Astyanax mexicanus: one gene and its partner. The protein of the gene in region 2 binds, or shares a complex with, the protein of the main gene of each other region. Links are inferred from orthologs where the notes say so. Each region holds a gene or a part of one and is shown on either strand. Other genes may lie near its edges.

Evidence for each region.
Region 1: the proteins of katnb1 (region 2) and katna1 are in contact, whole or in part, in a crystal structure (PDB 5OW5), measured with the Mus musculus proteins. The link is inferred for Astyanax mexicanus from reciprocal best matches to the Homo sapiens genes KATNB1 and KATNA1. Residues at the interface, in NP_083081.2 of Mus musculus: Leu485, Val486, Asp487, Glu488, Ala490, Met491, Gln493, Ile494, Arg495, Gly497, His498, Met501, Phe502, Val504, Leu505, Thr506, Arg508, His509, Leu512, Asp513, Val515, Arg516, Trp519, Thr521, Asp542, Leu543, Ile546, Gln549, Lys550, Leu553; in NP_035965.2 of Mus musculus: Leu5, Gln6, Ile8, Val9, Val12, Arg16, Ala19, Leu20, Leu21, Gly22, Tyr24, Tyr31, Tyr41, Leu50, Lys53, Trp54, Gln56, Val57, Glu60, Ile61, Val63, Glu64, Gln67, Val68, Asp70, Ile71, Thr74, Leu75, Ser77, Phe78.

What each region holds. Positions count from the first base shown.
Region 1 is NC_064408.1:47,389,836-47,400,086, forward strand, and holds the start of katna1 (katanin p60 ATPase-containing subunit A1), read right to left. Parts: upstream 4,751-10,251; 5' UTR 4,557-4,750; intron 4,518-4,556; exon of another isoform or gene 4,267-4,517; intron 2,481-4,266; 5' UTR 2,480-2,480; coding exon 2,318-2,479; intron 2,115-2,317; coding exon 1,972-2,114; intron 1-1,971. UniProt on the Homo sapiens protein: Catalytic subunit of a complex which severs microtubules in an ATP-dependent manner. Microtubule severing may promote rapid reorganization of cellular microtubule arrays and the release of microtubules from the centrosome following nucleation.
Region 2 is NC_064423.1:1,802,080-1,812,643, reverse strand, and holds the start of katnb1 (katanin p80 WD40 repeat-containing subunit B1), read right to left. Parts: upstream 4,446-10,564; 5' UTR 4,328-4,445; exon of another isoform or gene 4,316-4,327; intron 1,705-4,315; 5' UTR 1,687-1,704; coding exon 1,647-1,686; intron 246-1,646; coding exon 118-245; intron 1-117.

The DNA of each region.
Region 1 (10,251 bases), on a different chromosome or scaffold from region 2:
TTTCTACTGCATATTAACACTGTTCTCCATATTCTACTGCATATTAACACTGTTCTGTATATTCTACTGCATATTAACACTGTTCTGTATATTCTTCTGCATATTAACACTGTTCTGTATATTCTTCTGCATATTAACACTGTTCTGCAGATATTCTTATGATTTTAGCCGATCTGATTCAGGAGTTTAGGGTTAAGCAGTTTATCAGAGCTGTGTGTGGATGAAACTGGTGAAACCGGTGAAACTGCTCACTTACAAGAAGCTGCAGTTACTCATCCAACCACTAGTGGGAGCTGCAGCAGCAGCACAAGCCCCGCTCTCTTCACTCAGTCACAGCTACAGCCCAGCCACGGGCTACAGAGCTCAGCTCAGCCAGTCTGGAGCGTTTTTTTTTACACGTTTTTTTTAAGTTCATCTGTGTAGGAAAAGGTTTTAAAAACGGATAATACAGCTCTCTACAGTTCACCTATCAGCCAAAGCAGCTAACAGCAGCAGTTGTCACGGAGGCACTGCTCGGATTACATTATAAACAGGTCAGTTAGCGCGCTGCTAACCTCATGATGTTTATAACTACGGAGTTTAGTGGACACACCACGGCTGCAAGGTTAGACTGTTGAAGGCTACTGAAGACTATTAAAGGCTATTGGAGGTTATTGAAAGGGTTATTGGAGCAGAAATCAGTAAAGGCTGCTTAGATAAGTGATTCACCTCCTCGTCCTTTACTGCGGTGAAACTGCGACTAGCGCTGTCACAGTGATGTTTATTTAACGTCATTAAAACTGATTTTGTCAGGTATTGTCTTATAAATATTTACACAGAACTTATATCTCTCCTAAAAAGCATTTATTTTGGTCAGTAACATTCATGTTTATTTACTAGCAGCGTAAATTACCAGTGTTTGCTTTGGTGTGGATGTAATTAGGGGAATCTGTACCAGCCAGGTTTGCCAGGCACCTGTGTGGCATTAATGTGGCATTTGGCCCCGCCCAAGATCGGTATCGGCGCTCGGCCCATCGTGGTGAAAGACGACCGGCGATCGGAATCGGCCCCAAAAACACTGATCCGTTCAGGAGGTGTAAAAAAGGAGGTGAATAACTCCACTTAATTTTCACTGTGACAGCTGTCACTCTAGGTGAAAATCAAGATCAGGTGAAAATCTAGGTGAAATGAAGATCAGGTGGAAAACACAATTTTAGTTCAGTGATCAGGGTTAAGAAACTGCTTTAAACTACAAACATAAAGTACTGTACTAAATTCTGACTATCCACTACATCTGGCTTCTAGCTAATTAGCTATATTCATTTTCTCCTGTAATCCTAAACTAATAACGACAGTGAAATATGTGAAATAGTGATTAGCTGATCAGGTACAGGGCAAGTTGAACATTACATATATAGTTTATTTATTTTCTAAAACCTTGACTCCCTATCTAGCTAATTCCAAACTCAAGCTAACTCACTAACACAGCTGCAGTTTATTAATCACAGTGGGTTTAATCTGTGTGCTGATACAAGAAGTGTATTTTTAACCAGCTATCAGAAACATATCATCACAGTTTACGTGTTTAGCCTACCGTTATCTTTTTTTGAGAAAAATCTCCGTATATCCAGATCTGTTTTTAAATCAGCTGAAGCTGCTGCGTCCGATCCCGCTGCTAAATCTCACAGCAAGGGAGGGGCTTCCTCCGCGCGCCGCAAAAACAGCAAGCTGATTGGCTGTTTCTACTGAGAGGCGGGACTTAATACCTGAACCGGCTCTACTTATTTATTTATTTATTTTATTTATATATATATTTTTTTTATAGAGCCACGCTGCGCCGGAACGCTATCACCCCTGTAAATAAGCCATGTCACTGACTTAAAGTCATAGATAAAATGGCATGACTTCACTCAGCATTAGTGATATATCCATCACATAGCTGTCCTTAGTTTTCAAAATGATGAAAAATAACCTGTCATTCTATGGGTATACCTATGTTCCACCTGGGCAGGCATAAAATCATCCTCTTGGCTGAAACTGCTCGGCTTTGACGGGGCAGCCTCCAACTGGAAACTCTCCAGTGTCCTCATGATGTCCCTCACGTGCTTTCTTTCCTCGCTGATCTCTTGCCATACCTGAACACAGGACACAAACAAGCTCAAAACAATCAGACTATTTACACATCAAACCACTTGCCTCACCTTTATACTAATGTTTGCATGAATGTGGAACACAATGGCAGTTCAAACAGCAACTCTTGCCTCTGGGCAATTAGTAATGACAGTTCCAGTAACTCCAGGGGTTACCATACCAGTGTCCCGGGAGGCTGTAGTCTTACCTGTTGCCATTTCTGCTGTAAAGAAGAGTCTCGCACTGAATATAAGTATTTCTTGATCTGCTCCAGCACTCCCTCGTAGCAAACCACAGCCGAGCTGTAGTTACCCAGCAGGGCGTACTCTCTGGCCAGCTTTACATTCTCGCTGATCTCTACAAGACTCATTCTGGAAGAGGACACAGTGAAATTACCTCCCATAACCAGAACATAATAGCTAGTACTGAAAGAAACTCAAATCAAATAAAAAAGACAAATAGGTCAGTAAGGCTAGTCTCTCTGTAACTGCTGAACATTTCACAACTTAAACCATAAGAACTCAGACCCATTTATGATTACTGATCAGATAAATCCAGCAGGCAACCCATTCATGATTTTTTCCTATTGTGGGCACATGACTAAATATTTTTAAATAAAAATCCTGACAACACCAATTTTAAAACTGGCATTTTAACATCGTACTTTAGTAGTTGTACACTTTTAAAGTGAAAACTGTCCTGTGATCCTCTTAAGATTTCTGGTATGTTTCACTAAGATTTCATCAGTTAAAATGACAAATAAAGTGCTGTAAGAAATTTTACACTAAGGCTGTCAACATTAACGAGTTACCTGATGTAATTAACCTGTACGACAGCGTGTTAGGGCAACTCTTGATCTTTAATCCTGTAATATTACGACTTTAATCTCGAAGTGGACTGTTTTTATGTTTTTTTTTTTGAGTGGTTCAAATCTTGAATTATTATTTTTTATTTTTTAAACACAATTTAATCTTGTGACAATATTGACAGAGCCTGGTGACGCATAAGACATTAAACAGCAACGCGTACTGTTAAGTTCAGAAGGTATATTGCCTTTTATTTTTACTGAAGTGTATGCTTACACACATTTTCTCTTTTCAAGCTGTTAAAAAACTCTGTAACTCGACACATTATAATATTCTAGTTAAAGGGCATCAAAACTAACCTGAGAATTATATAATAATGTAAAGAAAAAGTGTAAACCACACTACACCATTATTACTAACCCTTTCCAAAAAATACAGTATCTTAAGTACCATCATGATTTTATCCATGATTTAGTCAAAGAATATTGTTGGGATTATTTTTTTTAAGAGCTTGGCACCAATACTACAAATGTGTTTCTATCACTGATTATTTTATACACATTTAAGGTAATTAAGGTACCCATTATCAAACGCATAGTCTTAAGGAAGAAAAAGTGTGATTAATCACATAATTCTATTGTGATTAACTGGATAATTGGACATTGAATAAAAAAAAACACCACTAATTTAAGTACACAGCTGTAGAAGGGTCTGTGACACACGTCTCGATGGCCTATTTTGGGTTAGTGTGTATTAACTCTTATTTTTATAAAACTGAGGTTTTTTTTTTTTTTACTTTTTATTTAGATTAGGTTAGCTACCGCTAGCTAGTAAGTTTACTAATTGGCAAACACGATAAATATCAATAAAAAAAGCTTAAATAAGATTAACTAATGCTAACTATGGGTAATTATCTAAGTTAACTAATGTTATGTGATTTTTTTTTCCAACAGACTCTACGGCTGGTAGCGTTAGCTAAACTTACCTAACAAACCCAGCTAAGCTAATCAACTAGCTAGCTAACCTAACTAACTAGCATAGCGATAGTTAGCTTAGCTAATAGTTTGAAGACTGTTAAACTGATGTAGCTAGCGTTTACTAATTAACTGAGCTAGTCAACAAGGTTAACTAACTTAATTTAGTTAAGTTAATTAGTAGCTAAGTTAACCTAGTTAACTAGCTACATTAGCATAACCTTTAGCATAGCAAACTATTATGGCTGCCAACATAAGTTAATGCTAATGCGACAAAAACACGTAGGTTAGTCAACCTAGTTACAGCCAGACTGCAAGAGAGTCAATACAAATAAACCAAACACAAAAACACGGTACAATACAATTCGCTCGCTTACCTTTCGGTTAACGAAGAGAAAGTTACTGTCTAAGTCTGTACTGACGGTAAAATAGCCCAGTAATTTAAGATTAACTTCACAAATTCAAGAAAATCCACGACAAACACCCAAAAACTGATAAAACTCCCCGTTTAACTCTCTTACAGCGCTATAGTTCTCTATTAGCTACACTAGTTGTAACACACCGGCTCCACTCAGACTGGAGCAGTCAATCGTTGGTTGAGCAGGTTATCAAAATCATGTAAGTTATATAAAGTTTAGTTCAGTATGATCGAGCTGAAATAACTCACTTGTCTCAGCGCTGAACAGAAGCAGCCTGTAAAAAAACAAACCACTGCGAACAATCCACCTCCAGCACGAACTTCAGCATCTGAGAGAGAGAGATTAGTCACTGAAGTTCAGAATAAATCTACAGACACTTGTTGGCAGAGTTTCGGAGGAAGGTAAACCCGGGAGAGAATCTCTGGAGAGGAGAAAACACACTGAGCTAAGAGTCTCTGCTGGAATTGTAGAGCCACCAGGGGGCGCTCACGAGTGAGACCAAAATTAATGGGTTTATATGGAGAAACGGAGCAAAATCAGAGTTTATAAATGTTTAAGTATTTGTATCATGAAAAATGTTCTCATTTCCCCAACACAGAACATTATCAAATGTTTCAGTACTGCAGAGATATTCTTTAAAGCGTTTAACATATTAACGTGCCTTGACCTGTATACGGGCTACAGGTGGAGATGATAGAAATCCCTTATTTTCTGCAGTAAAATAAGTTTTTTTTACACTCTGAAAATTTGAGGGCTTTGAAATCTCGTACAAGGCACTTGCAGAAGCTGCTGTTTTCTCTCTTCAGGATTTCAGCCAATTTTATGATTTTATTAATTGTATTTTGACATTAGCAGGTTTGCTTAAATATATTTTTTATATTTTCTATTACAATTACAATTCTGCTTTTCCGTAATGTTTCTTATCAAACATGAAAGCTTTTTATGTAATGCTTAAATAGAAATCCCCAAGATTTAGAGGTGTAATGTCAGGCAGACAATTGACAAAAATCCTGGCCTGTTAAAAGGGTAAAACTCCAGTTATTAAGCTTTTAAACTCAGAGATCTGACTGTAAATCCAGTATCAGTTCACCAACCACTCAGCGCACAATAGCAAAAATGAGCGCCTAAACTACCTAAAACCTGTTTACTGAAAAAAGTAAAATATGTTGGTATGTTTCTTTTCATTTATTTTTAGGAAAATACATTATTATACTTTTAACAATTAAAGGAATATTCAGAGAAAGTAGTTTTACTATTTTAATTAGTTTTATCCCTTTAGCTCCATTCAACCCCATCCAGTGTGGCCTCACTCGCGGGCTCCCTCTAGCGGTTCTTAGTAATGTTCTGATACAGCGGTAGAGATGGGAAGTGGACAGGCTCCCTATAAACCAGCTCTAAATCCGCCCCAGTTCACATCTACACCAGCAGGGTGAGTACAGCAGCTGCTGTTTGAATTATCTTCAAAATAAAAGTCTCTACACTGGGGCTGCGTCCAGTAACTTTTGTTACTCCTCCTCTCCTACCCCGAAAGAAGGTGAAGGAATAGAGGAGGAGGAGGAAGAATGGAGAGAAGTAGCAGTAATTGAGAAAATGGGACAGCTGATGCCTTTTAATAGAATGTTGACTACTTATTAACTGAGCCAATCACAGCGCTCATTTTCAACTCCCCTAACACTGCCCAGCCAATCTCAGCATATGATATATGGTCATCCTGTTAAATGTGGATGTGTAAACTCCAGTTCATTGCAGAGAAAATTCTATATTTCTGAAATTATGTGAAATATTTGCCAATCAAATAAAAGAGAAAGCCTTATTTTTTTATTTCTTAAATTTTATTTCATTTTATCTATTTTTTTATTTGTTCATAGATGATGATACATGTTCAACAATTACACAAGTGTTTTTAAGTATTATTTCGACACATACATATGTCAAAAAATAAATGAATTAATAAGTAATTAATTTGATTTAAAAATCTGTGCTCAGGTGCTTTGTGGGCGAGGCCTCAAAGATGTAAGAGAGTTTTTCCTTGCCACTGTTGTCACCACAATTCTTTTGGCATTTCTGTGGTGCTCGCTCATAAGAGGTGTGGACCTGTTTTTTTCTCTGTGAAGCTGCTTTGTGACAACTTCTATATAAATAAAACTGAATTGAATTGAAATTAAAGCCAACCCAAAATCTATAAAACATTTCCTGGGTAGCATACTGTGGTGTTATTGGCTTCTTTCTTCTCCTCTGGTATTTAGACAGGTGGCAAGATGGCATCATGAAATCAGTTTCTGGGTCACAGAGGAGAGGAGGGGGAACGGAAGTACAAAAGAGCAACTGTTTGGGGGGTTCTGGATGCAGCCTCAGACTCCTGAACACCGCTCTCACACATACATTTCATACAAAGTGTATTTGTACTCACCTACATTTTCGCTCATATGAACTTGTGTGACAACCCATTATTAATCCATAGGGTTTAATATGATGTTTCAGCTCTGCTGTTGATGTTTTAGGCTTCAACTCTCCTGGGAAGGCTTTCCACCAGTTTTAGGAGTGTGTGAAATTTTGATGTCAAGATATGTCAACCCCCCACCCCAGTGATCCCGGGGGCCCCACGCAATTGCGTGGTGGTAAAATCTGCCCCTGGGTGTAGCAGCATTAACACAGTTTAACACAATGGGTTATATGGGATTAAGTTAAATGTGTTTTTAACTAAGTTCTCTTTGTCTAATTTTGGGACATAAGTGAAAATCTTATGATGTTTTAGGTCTTATGTATGCATAAATTAAAAAAAAATCTAATCACTAAGGGTTAGTGATTTTCTGTTCAGTTCTCCTCAGAGAGGGCAGTTAGTTCATTAGTTGGATCAGCTGTGTGTAATATGCTGTTAGTGTTGCCAACTCCTCAGTAAGGAAAGTAGCTATTGGCTGTCCTAGTTGCAGGAAGTCGCTAAATGACGCCATCGCCTAATTTGCATAATATATGTTTTTGAAGCTGTAAAGGATTAACGTTGTGGGACAAAACAAATGAGTGAAACACCTTAAAATATGTTAGAAATGTTACACATGAACTCTAACAAATAAACAACTTCTGTTGCTTTTTTTTTAAATAGGCAGTCACATCTCAAAATAACTTAATTTTTACGTAAAAAAAAAAATATTTTTTTTGCCATGTTAAATGTTATTATAAGAGCAGCAGTTAGCCGAAACTGTTATTCTACTTAATTTTTTTTATTTTTTTTTATTCAGGGTTTTGTTTTATTTTTTTTTAAGTTTTCTTTATTTTTAAATGTATTCTAGACAAATTGTTCAATGATAAGCTATGTGGCTAGATGTTTAGGCAGACACTGTGGACGAGGTGAGTGACTAAGACTGTGTGTGTGTGTGTGTGTGTGACCACTTTTACAATTTACAGTTTTTTTTTGTTTTGTTTTTTTTTATAAAAATTAAGAATTTACTTTATTTCACTTTTATAAGTGCTACTGTAATGTAGGGCTGCAACCAATGATTATTTTGGTAGTCGACTAATCTGATGACCATTTTATCGATTAGTCAATTAGTCAACGATTATTTCTGCCATGTCCTCCATCTCTAAAAACAACAGAGAAACAGCTAAACATGAGATTTAAAAGGCATTTAAATGTCCACATGTTGTTTAAGCGTGGAGAGTACTGATATTTAGTTAATAAATATGTAATCTGTTGTGTTTGGGCACTTTTGGAAACACGGACCAAGTTCCTTTTGTCCCCAGTACGTTGTGTGATGCGGTTCTGTTACAAATGAATGATTAGACGACAATGACATTTGTAGTCTACAAATTTAAATAATCGATATTGTCGATTATATCGACTAATCGTTACAGACCTATTGTAATGTACCCTCGCCCAAATCTTTGTGGACGTCCATTCTAATGACTAAACGTCACAGATTGGGCATTCCAAGTTGCAAAAATTAATTTCAGGGAGGTACCCCCGGACCAATTTGGGATTATCTGTCTATATTATATATAATATAATATAGGGATTATCTATCTATAAAATATAAATCTTGGTTTTGTATGTGCTTCATGAATATGCACACAAGGGGAGCTCCTTTCTCTCCCTCTCCCTCTCTTTTAGACACAATACAAGAAGTGATACAAGAATAGACCACTGAAGTCGTGTTGTCATTTTGTAGTCTGCGCCAGGTTGGGGTTTCAGTGTCTAAGCGGTTCAGGTCAATGAAAAAAATGAATATTTTAAACACTGTGGTAAATAAATATGTTCAGAACCCTGTACGTTTTATTCTGTATATATGTACATCTTGAACAACACTGGATCCTCTGAATTTTGAGATTGTTTAGGGGTAATAATTAGAAAAATGCTAGCTTTAAGCTAATGCGTAACGTCACAGCACAGCGGCAGACAATGGCTGCAGGCTCAATTCTGCACTACACCAGCTAACTCCGGCCAGATTGCGTTTTGGATTAATATTTTTTCTTACACAGGATCATTAAAGTATTTAAACAGGTGAAAACTCTCTCAGTAATAGTGAGCAGTGTAATGTTAAGCAGTGTAGTCTGTGTTAGAGCTTTAAAAGGCAGATAATAAGCAGCGCTTCCTTGCAGATTTAATATTTAATTACGGTCATTGGTTTATTCTAATTACAACACACCTGACCCAAATAATCAACTAATCAACTAACTATCTGCCCTCGCTGAGGGGAGCTTTGTGATGCAGCAGTTACTTCAGAATCACAAAGCTAGAACCATAGAGTCTAAAATACTTAATGTTAAAAGGCTTAATGTGTGTGTTTTTCCACTGAAACCTATTATATAACCACAAATCCTAACAAGGATTAATGTGCTAAAACAACGAACCAGAAAGACTAAACATCTCTAATTTATTTCACAGCATAATAAAGACTGTAAATATTAAAACGTGGTACAGTGTTTAAAGCTGGTTCTGGGGTAATTCTGTGCTGTTGGGTTAGTGATTTTCTGCTGTGGCACTTTTAGCTCTCCTCAGTGAGGGCAGTTAGTTCATTAGTTGGATCAGCTGACTGTAACATGCTGTAAACATTCGTCCGGAGTTCACTGGTGTTGTGCCGAAGAGAGTCCCCTTCCGATCTCTGCAGCTGTGAGGTCAGTTCACGCCACTGTAGCATTAGCTTAAAGCTAGAATTTTCCTCTTTACGACTCTTAAACAATCTTGTTGGATGATAACCAGTCCATCGTATCTCACATCATCTTAAAAGTATTGGATGAACACCATCATTCCAGAGAACACAGTTCCACTGCTCCACAGCTTAATACTGGGGCTTTATACACTATTACAAGGGGTGTCCACTGAAGGGTGTGATTAGAGATAACCACACCTTCACACTCTTATTCTTAAATGTTTAATTAAATGTTGATTTATATTAACAGTTATTATTTTTACTGTTCACTTTATAATTCACTTAATAACCTTATGATCTTTGCTCTCTTTTTAACTGTCACAATGACACAAGGCTTTGGAGGTTGTTTTTACTTTTTCAGGAATCAGGAAGGTCAGAGTGTTTTCATCAACAATGAGAGCTGTGAGGAGAACGTGACCCTGAGTGGCTGAGAAGCTTCACTGCTGTTCTGGGACCAGTGCATATGAACTAGGAGACAACAAGCTCTCTGAGTGAAGTGCTGGGAACCTCTCCTCAGATAGCCAGCGCATGCCTGTTCTACACGACGTAAAGTCGCACACAGGCCAGAAGATCTTTCCATCCACTCTTTTCCTCTGTTTCATCTTCTCACAGACTTTAGGACACTTAAGGACTGTCTGCTGTGTTCATGAAAGACAGTGCTGAACAACATCATGATAAGAACTTGTTGCTCAGACAGGCTGGAGCGGATCACGTCATTAAAACTGGACAACAAACTGTTAACTGGACTCTGCTGACGTAATCATATTGATAAGTTCTGTCCAATCACGTCATTTGCATA
Region 2 (10,564 bases):
CACTACTTAGTGAACACTAATGAGGGAGTAGGGAGCCATTTCGGTCACAGCATAAATTTATCCCTACTATAACTTAACTACAGTCAGATATACCACACTGGTATAGTGGTCCCCTACCATAATGCAGTTAGGTTTGTTGACGGCCCAGATGTTGACCCTGCAGTCCTCTCCTCCAGTAGCCAGCAAGCGGCCTGATCTACCCAACACCAGCGAGGACACTTTACTGGAGTGGGCCACCATGTCCTCTGATCACGACAAAAAAAAAATAAATTAAGCAGATGAAGCTCCAGTAAACTCAAAGTTGTGCAGCTTAAATTTGTGAAGTCATGATTATTATTATGATTATTACATTCTCTCTACTAGCCTGCTGTTTCATATTTAATACAACAATAAAATTAAAATACATTTTTAATTTTCAGTTTTATTAGGAACTACACCAAATCTTAAGGAAAGCCTTGTGCACTTTCTGACAGGTTAACATACAGTATGATTTTTTTTATATATATATATAATTTTATTTCTAATTTTTCCCATTTTCTCCCAGGCCAATTACCCAACCCACTCACTAGGATTCCCCCTATCACTAGTGATGCCCCAACACACCAGGAGGGTGAAGACTAACACATGCTTCTTCCGATACATGTGAAGTCAGACAACGCTTCTTTTTAAGCTGCTGCTGATGCAGCATTACCGAGTAGCATCACAGCGCTAACACGCGGAGGAAAACGCAGCAACTCGGTTCTGATACATCAGCTCACAGACGCCCTGTGCTGCAGACATCACCCTAGGAGTGATGTGGGGATAGAGCGCCATCTACCCACCCGGAGGGAGCAAGGCCAATTGTGCTCCCTCTGAGCACCAGATTCTTGATGGTAAAGCTGCATGAGTGGGGGTTCGAACCTGCGACCTCCTGCTCATAGTGGCAGCGCTTTAGACCACTGGACCACTCGGCGCTCATAACATATAGTATCAATTTAAAACTGAATTTTAAAAGCTATAAAATTAGTATTGAGAAATTCTGATTTATAGGTAGAGATTTGTAAATACCTTTCTTTGTAGCACTTGGAGAATTGTAAAGAATAAACTAAATACATTATTACTGTTCTTGTTATTTACAACATGGATAGTTCATGATAATAGTTAATTATTAGTAACATGTAACAAATAGTTATTAACAATAACCTTAAAAGCACGGACAAAAACAAGCTGACGACCGTGCAATACAGTCATGACTAGTTAACTCCAAATAATCTAAGAATTCATTATTCTCTGCTCAACATGATTCTCATATCAAACTGATGCAATGAATACTACAAAAATGTATTTATTGAAAATTTCTTCAAATATCGTGATATAATATTTTTAGCATTTCCCCTAGCTCTGTCAGCGCGTGACCACATGCAAAGACTTTTATACAGTTCATATCGCTATCTGAATTATATTTTACCAACAAAATAAAAATAACAAATACATTGTGATACAAATGTCTTCCAGCTCTTCTGTCTACCAGTTAAAATGATCTTTAACAGAACACCTGGTTCAAATATATTATATTTTCTCCTAAAAAGAACTGACATATAGCTGTTCTTTTCCAGGGAATGATTAGGATGTTCATTTCTGGAAAAGAGTTTAATTAAAGTACTTACGCAGTTTCCACCACATTTTGGTGACGTCTGAGGCAGCCATAGCATTGATGAGCTTAACCTGAAAAGAGCAGTAAATTCTATCATTACATCATTAAATAATCTAATTGATTGACTCTCTGCAAGTAATTCATCAATTACTGTATGTACAGACAATCTACAGTAAAACTCACAAAACATGACAATGTATAATTACCAATAAATGTTATTTTTAACATGGAGATTAACATAATTAGCAGTATTTATAATTAACTGCTTTTGTTTTGCCAAAGTTAGTAAGCAAACACATTGTTACGACATTGTCGTAGTCACAACACTGGTGTCCAAACATTCCACTTTATGGTTTATGTTTTATTAATAACTCTGTCATGCTAACATGATCACAACCTCATCTTTAGGTAACATCCCAGATAGTTCAAGTATGCACTGCTAAAAATCAATTGGCAAATACTAGACAAAATATATGCAAATTAAGACAAATACATGTATATTAAGCAAAAAAAAATATCTGCCAATGGGGTAAGCAAATTTTCTTAGTAAGATTTCTTACAAAAAGCAATGGCAAAGTCTCAAAATGAGTGAAGTAACACCTAAATCAAGCAAAAAAAGTCTCTGTTTTTGGACACAAGAATTAGAATAACCTGATTGCTGCTTGATTGTGTTTATTTTGAGTTCAAATTACTTAAAATAAGGTACAAATTCTAAGTAAGAATCATTAAGATAATTATCCCTAAAATAAGCAAAATAATCTAACACTTCCATAACAAATCCATGGTTTTCATCTTTAATGAACTGATCTATTAATGCCCATCGATTTATGTTGAATCAACATTAATTAATCATTATAGTTTAATATGTGATGTTTTTCTATTACAATTTATTTACATTTAGTGTGTATGTTGTTTATATTCTATTGTCCTGTGTTTCTGCAGTGCATTTAAGTAATTCTAATTCATAATATTACAATAACAATGATTATTATTTGTGGGGAGCACCTTTTGCTTTCAGAACCCCAACCATTAAAACTCTTTAAATTAACGCTGCTTTAACATCAGATATTTATTGTTGCCTATTAGGCAATGTTAAATAAAGGTTGTTTTAAGGTTGTTTTCATAATCATTATTACACAATATTATAAATAATGTAACCAAAAATAATGTTTATTCAATGTTTTTTTTTTTTTTATCAGTGATTATTCATTGTCATAGGACTACCGGTACATTTTGGCACATTTTCTAAACCTTATATATGTTCCAACACCAACTTTGACAAATTCTGACAAAAAAAACACATAAAGAGTACCAATCAAAAGTTTCTTATTTAGTGCCTTTCTTATTTTTCCCTACAGAGTAAATTAACAATAAAGTGATCCAGACTATGAAAGAACACATAAGGAATCATGTAGTGACTTAAGAGTGTTTAAAAATATAATAAAAATACTCTGTGAAGTATTTAGGTGCTCTTATCTGGGCTTCTGTTAACTTGTGGTTTTTGAGGCTGGTAACTCTAATGAATTTATCCTGTACAACAGAGGAAACTCTCGCTCTTTGTTTACTTGGACGGCCCTGATGAGAGCCAATTTAATCATAACATCTTTGATGATCTTTTTAACAGCACTTGAGAAAACTTTAAAAGACACATTGAAGAACATGAAGCATCATATTGACTGACCTTCTATTTTTAAAGTATTTATTTTCTTTATTTAGTTGAGTAGTTCAGATAATACAGATTAGAACATTACTCAAATATTCACTATTCACTGTATACCTGTAACTCTACCTCTTCACTACTTTACTTTAACTGATGCTCTCAAACACTTTATTAAGAGACAAGAAATTCAAGTAATTAACTCTTAATGATATCTCTGAACTGAAAGCCTGAATTGTTCCAGGTGACTCTACTTTATAAAACTGACTGGGAAAATACAGCCAAGATGTGCAAAGCTGTCATTTATGCAGGAGGTGCTAAAATATCTAAAGAAACTAAAAAAAACAAACATACTCTGGCCTGTTTAACACTTTTTTGTTTACTAAATAATTCCATGTTTTTCTTCATAGTTTGGATGAAGTACTAACGTTTGCCTGGTACTGTAGTTTAGAAAATACAGTTTTACCTTTCTAAATCAGACATTAACACTGTTAACCTACTTTAGTTAAAGTGAGGTAGTGCTAGTTTAAAAGAATCGCTTCAAATAGCCATATATATATATATATTTTTTTTTTTATTTATTTATTTTTTTTTATTATTATTATTAATAGCTAAAATGTGTTCATTTGAAGTAATGTAACATACCAGTCCAAAATCAGGGGGTTTAGAGCCCCTTTAAACAAACACCTTAAATTAGTAGCTAGTGTTTGGCTGTCAGTTGCCCCAATTGGCATTTCAGACATCTATACTGAATATTCTCTATTAATACTCAGGTTTACTCCCAGTACAGCTGGATTATTATGTATTTGAGCACATCCTGTGGTCTGTAAGTAGTTTACTCCGCTGTAAAGTGATTTATCTTTAGGTTAAAACTACAGGCTGTTCGGCCGGGGAGCAGCCTGGAGCTTATTCTCACCAAAACCTGTAACTCACACCTACAGCACCAGCTAACTTAACATTACCAACCTGCGTCCTGTAAACACCCTTGACCCCAAACACACACACCGAGCCACGCGCTGACTAACCCCGGTGTTTACCTATCGCCGCTCCGGTGGGTCCGGCCGGTCGGTAGTCCGGCTGATCGGTTGCTAAACAATATAAACACAAACTGAGCTAATCTACTACTGACACCCAACCAGCCGCTCCGCGTGCCCACCCATAATGCACTGCGCTCACTGCCGGAGCTGAGCTGAGCCGGTGTTGTGTCAAATTGTGCTACCTTGCCAAACAGTGTTACCTTAGTGTATATTTACAGTTAAAAATAAAAAATATCACGTTATTAGAACTTCAACGTCAAAAGTGTATTTAGGATATTTGAATAGATTAAAACCACTGTATTAGGGCACAGATAAGACGATATAGGCGATTAGAAATTGTTTTTTGTTTTTTTAACAAAATTATATTTTTTATTATTAATTACACGTTTGTAAATTACACGTTTGTAACACTCACTAAAATAACAGTCAGTGAGCTCAGGTTGTTTAATAAACCGGAGGAAAACAGAACTACCATGAAAAAACGTTAAAAAAAAAATAATAATAATAATGTGGGACAGCGCATGCGCACTACAGCTAAAAGGCGCTTATCGATGGGAAGCACAACTCGACAGAACACCAGTGTTCAGACACATTTTGCTACTCATCGATATGTGCTTCTTAACGCCATGCGCGTGCACGCAATAAAAAGAAATACAAAAACACGAGAGAATCGCGTCTATTCCGTTTAAACCATATCCTGACATTTTGATTCCGGATTTTAAAATATGAAGCTTTTTCTGGCATTTTACATTTAAATATACACTAGGGTAGCACGGTATGACAGGGAAGCACAACTCGAACACCGGTTTATGAAGAGTCTAACGGAGAGGAGGTTACCCACTTAAGTTACCAATCTATACCGGGATTTCTGTTTTAGGTCAACAGAGGGCGCTCTCGAGTAAGTCCAATATGGAGCAATTGAACAAAATCATTTTTTTAAACTGAAATAAATTACTAATTTCATCAACATATAACAAAATAAAATGTTTAATCACTGCAGGCATATTTTAAAAGCTTCTTAATTCCAGCTATAAACATGCTCTGATTTTAACTTCAGCATCAGCTCACCAACAATCAGCTCAGATTAGCAGTCACTTTTTTATGAAAACTGGAATCATTTTATTTTAGTTGGTCAACTACTTGAATCAAATAGTAGACCATACAGTTATATTGACCTAATTAATAAATACAAAATTGACAAATACTCTACAGTGATAATACTCTACAGTGATAAATGCTATACCAGTTGGTGCAAATTTACTGCTGAGAGGCGTAAACTTTCCTTGTCACTCACTTGATTTACTGGATACTTATATTGGGAGTATGCTTTCAGCTAAACACCAGCAAAATAATAAGCTGATAAGATAATTATTTCAGAAAGACATTGCTACAATTCCTTAAGTAATATCATTTTGGAATAGTATTGTAGAGTGTATAGTGTGGTCTTTACCTTTAAAATATTTAATTTCTAACAAAGTGAGAGAAATTAGGCTGAAATTAATATATAACATTTTCTTTTAAAGATTTTCTTTTAAAATATAAGTGTGATATGGAAACTGACTGCTAATTTTGTAAACGTGCTTCTGAAGATGTTACTTACTCTTGTTGCTTGCTATGGATATTTCATATCCATAAATGATATGTAAAAAAAAGTTTGGGAGAAGGACCACACCCAAACTCCACGCTCTAACTACACCTCTTATCAATAAACCACCCTATAAATACCTGCTCTAACTACCTACTTTTCGTGACGAAAGTTTGCATCCCACCTCCGCCCCAACAACCTCCTGGTTGCTCATTATCAGCCTTTGTCTCAGCTTCTGTAGCAGTTACATCTTGTACCTTAGTTTCCTTCCTCTGTCTCTGCTGGGTCAGTGTCCAGTAGCAGGTTGGAAGCATCTGATGCCTCATCCATAATGTGAGAGGCCTGATCTTCCTGAGGGCAGTGAACTCCTCCATCTTCCACCAGTGTTTGGCAGCTTCTGATGCCTCATCCACAATGAGAGTGGCCTGGTCTTCCTTTTGGGGGCAGTGAACTCCTCCGTCTTCCACCACCAACTACATCACAATCGCGCAGAGTACAGGCCCCACTATCACCTCAGCTTCAGCCAGGTTGTTATGGTTGTTTTTTATGTAAACCTTTTTTATTTATTTATTTTATTTAAGGGTATTTTTGTTTGTTTTTTGTGGTTGATTTTTTATGTAATATTATTTTTGCTTGTTTTCTCATATGTAATTATTTTTGAGGTTGTTTTTTAATTTTTTTCTGGAGTGTGCTACTGTACTTCACATACAAGACTTCAAAAGGACTAAAAGACCTAAAAAAGACCCCTTACACTGAAATTTTGATTTATGCAGATTTATTTCTAATTTGCGTTGACACAAAACCACTTAATCCTACACTGTCCTACTTATACAGCCTCTTTCCTCGTTTTTCTAGTCTTCCTCGTCTTCGTAGTCTTCCTAGTCTTCGTAGTTTTTGTGATCTTCCTCGTCTCCCTCGTCTCTTCTCCTTCTTTTTGTATTCAGCTTCGGGTCTGCATTCAGCCTCCGTCTCGGCTTCCTTAGTCTCTGCTGGGTCAGTGCCCAGTAGCAGGCTGGGAGCTTCTGGTGCCTCATCCATGATGAGAGTGGCCTGATCTTCCTCTTGTGGGCAGTCAACTCCTCCATCTTCCACCAGTGTTTCCACCACACTCTCACAAAGCTCTGTATTAAGGGTCACCTCAGCTTCTTCTGACTTTGTTAATTCAGTGACCTGTAGCAGGCTGAGAGCTTCTGGTGCCTCATCCATGATGAGAGTGGCCTGATCTTCCTCTTGTGGGCAGTCAACTCCTCCATCTTCCACCAGTGTTTCCACCACACTCTCACAAAGCTCTGTATTAAGGGTCACCACAGCTTCTTCTGACTCTGTTAAGTCAGTGACCTGTAGCAGGCTGGCAGCTTCTAATGCCCCATCCATGATGAGAGTGGCCTGATCTTCTTCCTTGGTGCAGTCAACTCCTCCATCTTCCTCCATCAACTCCATCACAGTCTCGGAGAGTACAGGTTCAACCATCGGCTCAGCCTGCCTCTCCTCCACCGTTTCAGGGTCTCCTTCCAATGGAGTGACTGTAGTCTCCTCCGTTGTCGTCGGCTTCTGTGTTCTGGATCGGTACAGGTAGTAAAGCGATCCACCGGCAGTTATAGCTAGAGCTGCAATGCTGGCTGCTCCTAGTATCCCTCGAACTGCACACATCTTGTCGCTGCGAAAATCCGTTGACGACTGAAGTTTTTCGTGCTGCTGCGCCTTTTATAGTGTTCGAACAGTGACCTCATATTTATATCCACAGCAGTAAACTAAACTGTGATGTCATTGACATGAATGTTCCAAAGTTGGCAATAAGCCAACAAACAATAAATAAAAAAAACACATCCAAGTCCAAAATCTGATTAAAAATATCTACCAACTTTTTTTTTATTGTAATCTTTTATTTTTTTGTTTTTAATATGTAAATATTTATGTGGTTATTTTTTTGATGGTTTGATGGTTTTTTTATGGTTGTTTTTTATGTAAACTTTTTTTGGTCGTTTTTTAATATTTATTTTTTGAGGATTTTTTTTGCGGGTAGTTGTTTTATGGATGATTTTTAATGTAATCTTCTTATCAAATATTTTTTAATATTTGATTATTTTGTGGGTTTTGTTTTTTGTTTGTTTGTTTTTTTTTATGGTTGTTTTTTAAGGTAGTAGACTGATGCCAACTATGTTTTTTCGCTTTTTAAAATTTTATTATTTTTTTTTTGTGGTTGCTAAAACTATCCGGTTTATTTGTATTTTTCATAATTTAATGCATTTTTTTTTTGTTTAGATTTTTTTTGGAATCTTTTTATTTTTTAATTTCAATTATTATTATTTTTAAAAAAAGCTTCAAATCTTTTTAACATAAAGAGGACAAATCCGTTTCCATGTTGATTAGAATAAAAAAATAGATTGAATATTTTTATAGGTGATAAAAACTAAACAACAAACTGTGCTGAATTCCTCACTACTGCTGTAACGCGTTTTACTTCACACATGACAACAGTTTAGTTTTAACTATGTATAACTATGAATAAATAAAATTTAAATAAAACAAAAGAAATGCTTTTCCCAGCTAACTAAAAAAGGGTCGCCAAAAAGTTGCAAGGGACGTTCTTATTGAACGTTTGTAGGACCACCAATAAACATTTAGAAGACTATTATGCGACGTTAAAACAAACCTATTTAAACGTCTTTTATGGTCTTCCGTCCTTTAAACATCTCTAATAATGCTAAATTAAATTCTATCGTTTATTAGATTGTGGCATATAATAAACACAAGTAGATGCTGCAATCTGCTGTTTTTTATTAAATATGAAAATACATATTTCTCGTGTATTGCGATCAATGATTTTCACGCTTGTCCCAGCGCTGTTTCAGTGCTCCTCTTGGGGTGAAAGAGTCTAAAGATTCTAAAAAAATTTTAACATTCAATGTGTTAATCTCCAGCGAGTCAATTCAAGACCGTTTTTTATTCATTTGTAGTTTAATTATACACGTATATAAGCTTACCTGAGATTAATAAATCTATCTACAGCGCTGTAAAAGCGCAAAAGTCCCCTGATCTCCCAGAGTTCTGAATCCGGTCTAAACAACGCTGCGTCTTCGTACAGGGAGGCTGTTACTGGTAATGATCGCTAGATTGCGCTTCTTTAACGTGTCATTCCGATCTAAGGGATTATATTATATATTTAAGGGATAAGGGATTATATTTACTCATAAAACTTCTAACAGGCGTGAGCTGTGCTCTATGCCTGAAATATATTTTAGTTTTAGTTTAACAGTATAATAACACAAGTATCCTACATTTAAAATGGTAAAACGTTGCACGAAGTAACTTTAAAATGCGTTTTATTTTTAAGCACAGTGTCTGCGTTAACCTAATTGCAAAAGTAAGATATGAAATTAAACATAGAACACTAAAAACTAAGCATTTGTTACCTGTCCCCTCTCTATCTATAAATTATACCATGAAATATTATTAAAATCCTTCAGACAAGTAATTTTTTGAATTGTGCATTTTTGTGTGAATGCAAATTTTAAAAAATCATAATAAATCCATAATAAATAAGTTAAAATACACATTTTAGTTGTGTTACCGGAACACATTACCCCATCTAAACAATCTGGAACATTCTACAAGTCACATCTACAACAGGAGGTCAACTCAGTTGGTTCTTCTGAAGATCATGAGAAGAACAACATTAAGTTCCCTTATTTGTTTTTCAGTATATTTGATCTAATTGACTATGACTAAGAAGGTCTATGTCACTGCTCTTACCTAAATTAATTCTTTAATATTACTTGTTTATTTTTAAAATAGAAATTAGCATAGCCACCATTTCGCTATTTTTCATGTTTTTGCTAATTCTATGCTAAAAACTAAAAAGTCATGTTACTTTCAGTCCTGTACTTTTAACATAATAACAAGACTGAGTGCCAATAACAGGAGTGAGTTCCAGTGATAGGAATGAATGCCAGTAACAGAAGTTATTTTCAACAAAAATATCAGGTAAAGAGGTATTATTTTATAAATATACAGCTTTTACAATGTAAAAGGAAATAAAGATAATACATAATTAATGCAATGTGTGACAGTAGAGCTGCTTTAAATCTGTAACACTATATCAAATCAAGTCTAATACAATGTTTAAGATGTTTAGTGAATAGGCAGTTCTTATAATAATTTGTATCAATTTGATCATTTATTCCAACAGTGGCGTGCACAGACATTTTGGGGGGCAAGTGCACACACACACACACACACACACAAACACACACAGCTTATCCAGTCCATGTAGAAAAATGTTGCCAATAGAATAAGACTCTCTGGGTGTGTGTGTGCGTGCGTGTGTGTGTGTGTGAAGCACTACTATAACAGGCTGTGTGTGTGTGTGTGTGTGTGTGTGAAGCAGTACTATAACAGGCTGTGTGTGTGTGTGTGCCTAAACTACTACTGCCTAAAACCTGTTTACTAGAGAAAAATTAATATATGTAGGTAATTTGTCTTTTTTTAAGCCATTTTGTTTGTTTTTGTTTTAGTTTTAGCCATTAAACTCAAATTACCCCCATTTATTAAGGACTCGCGGGCTCCCTTTAGTGGTTCATAAAAAGAAATCAGATAAAACGGTGGAGATAAGAAGTGGATAGGTTCTCCCCAGAATAAAATCCTAAAGGCTG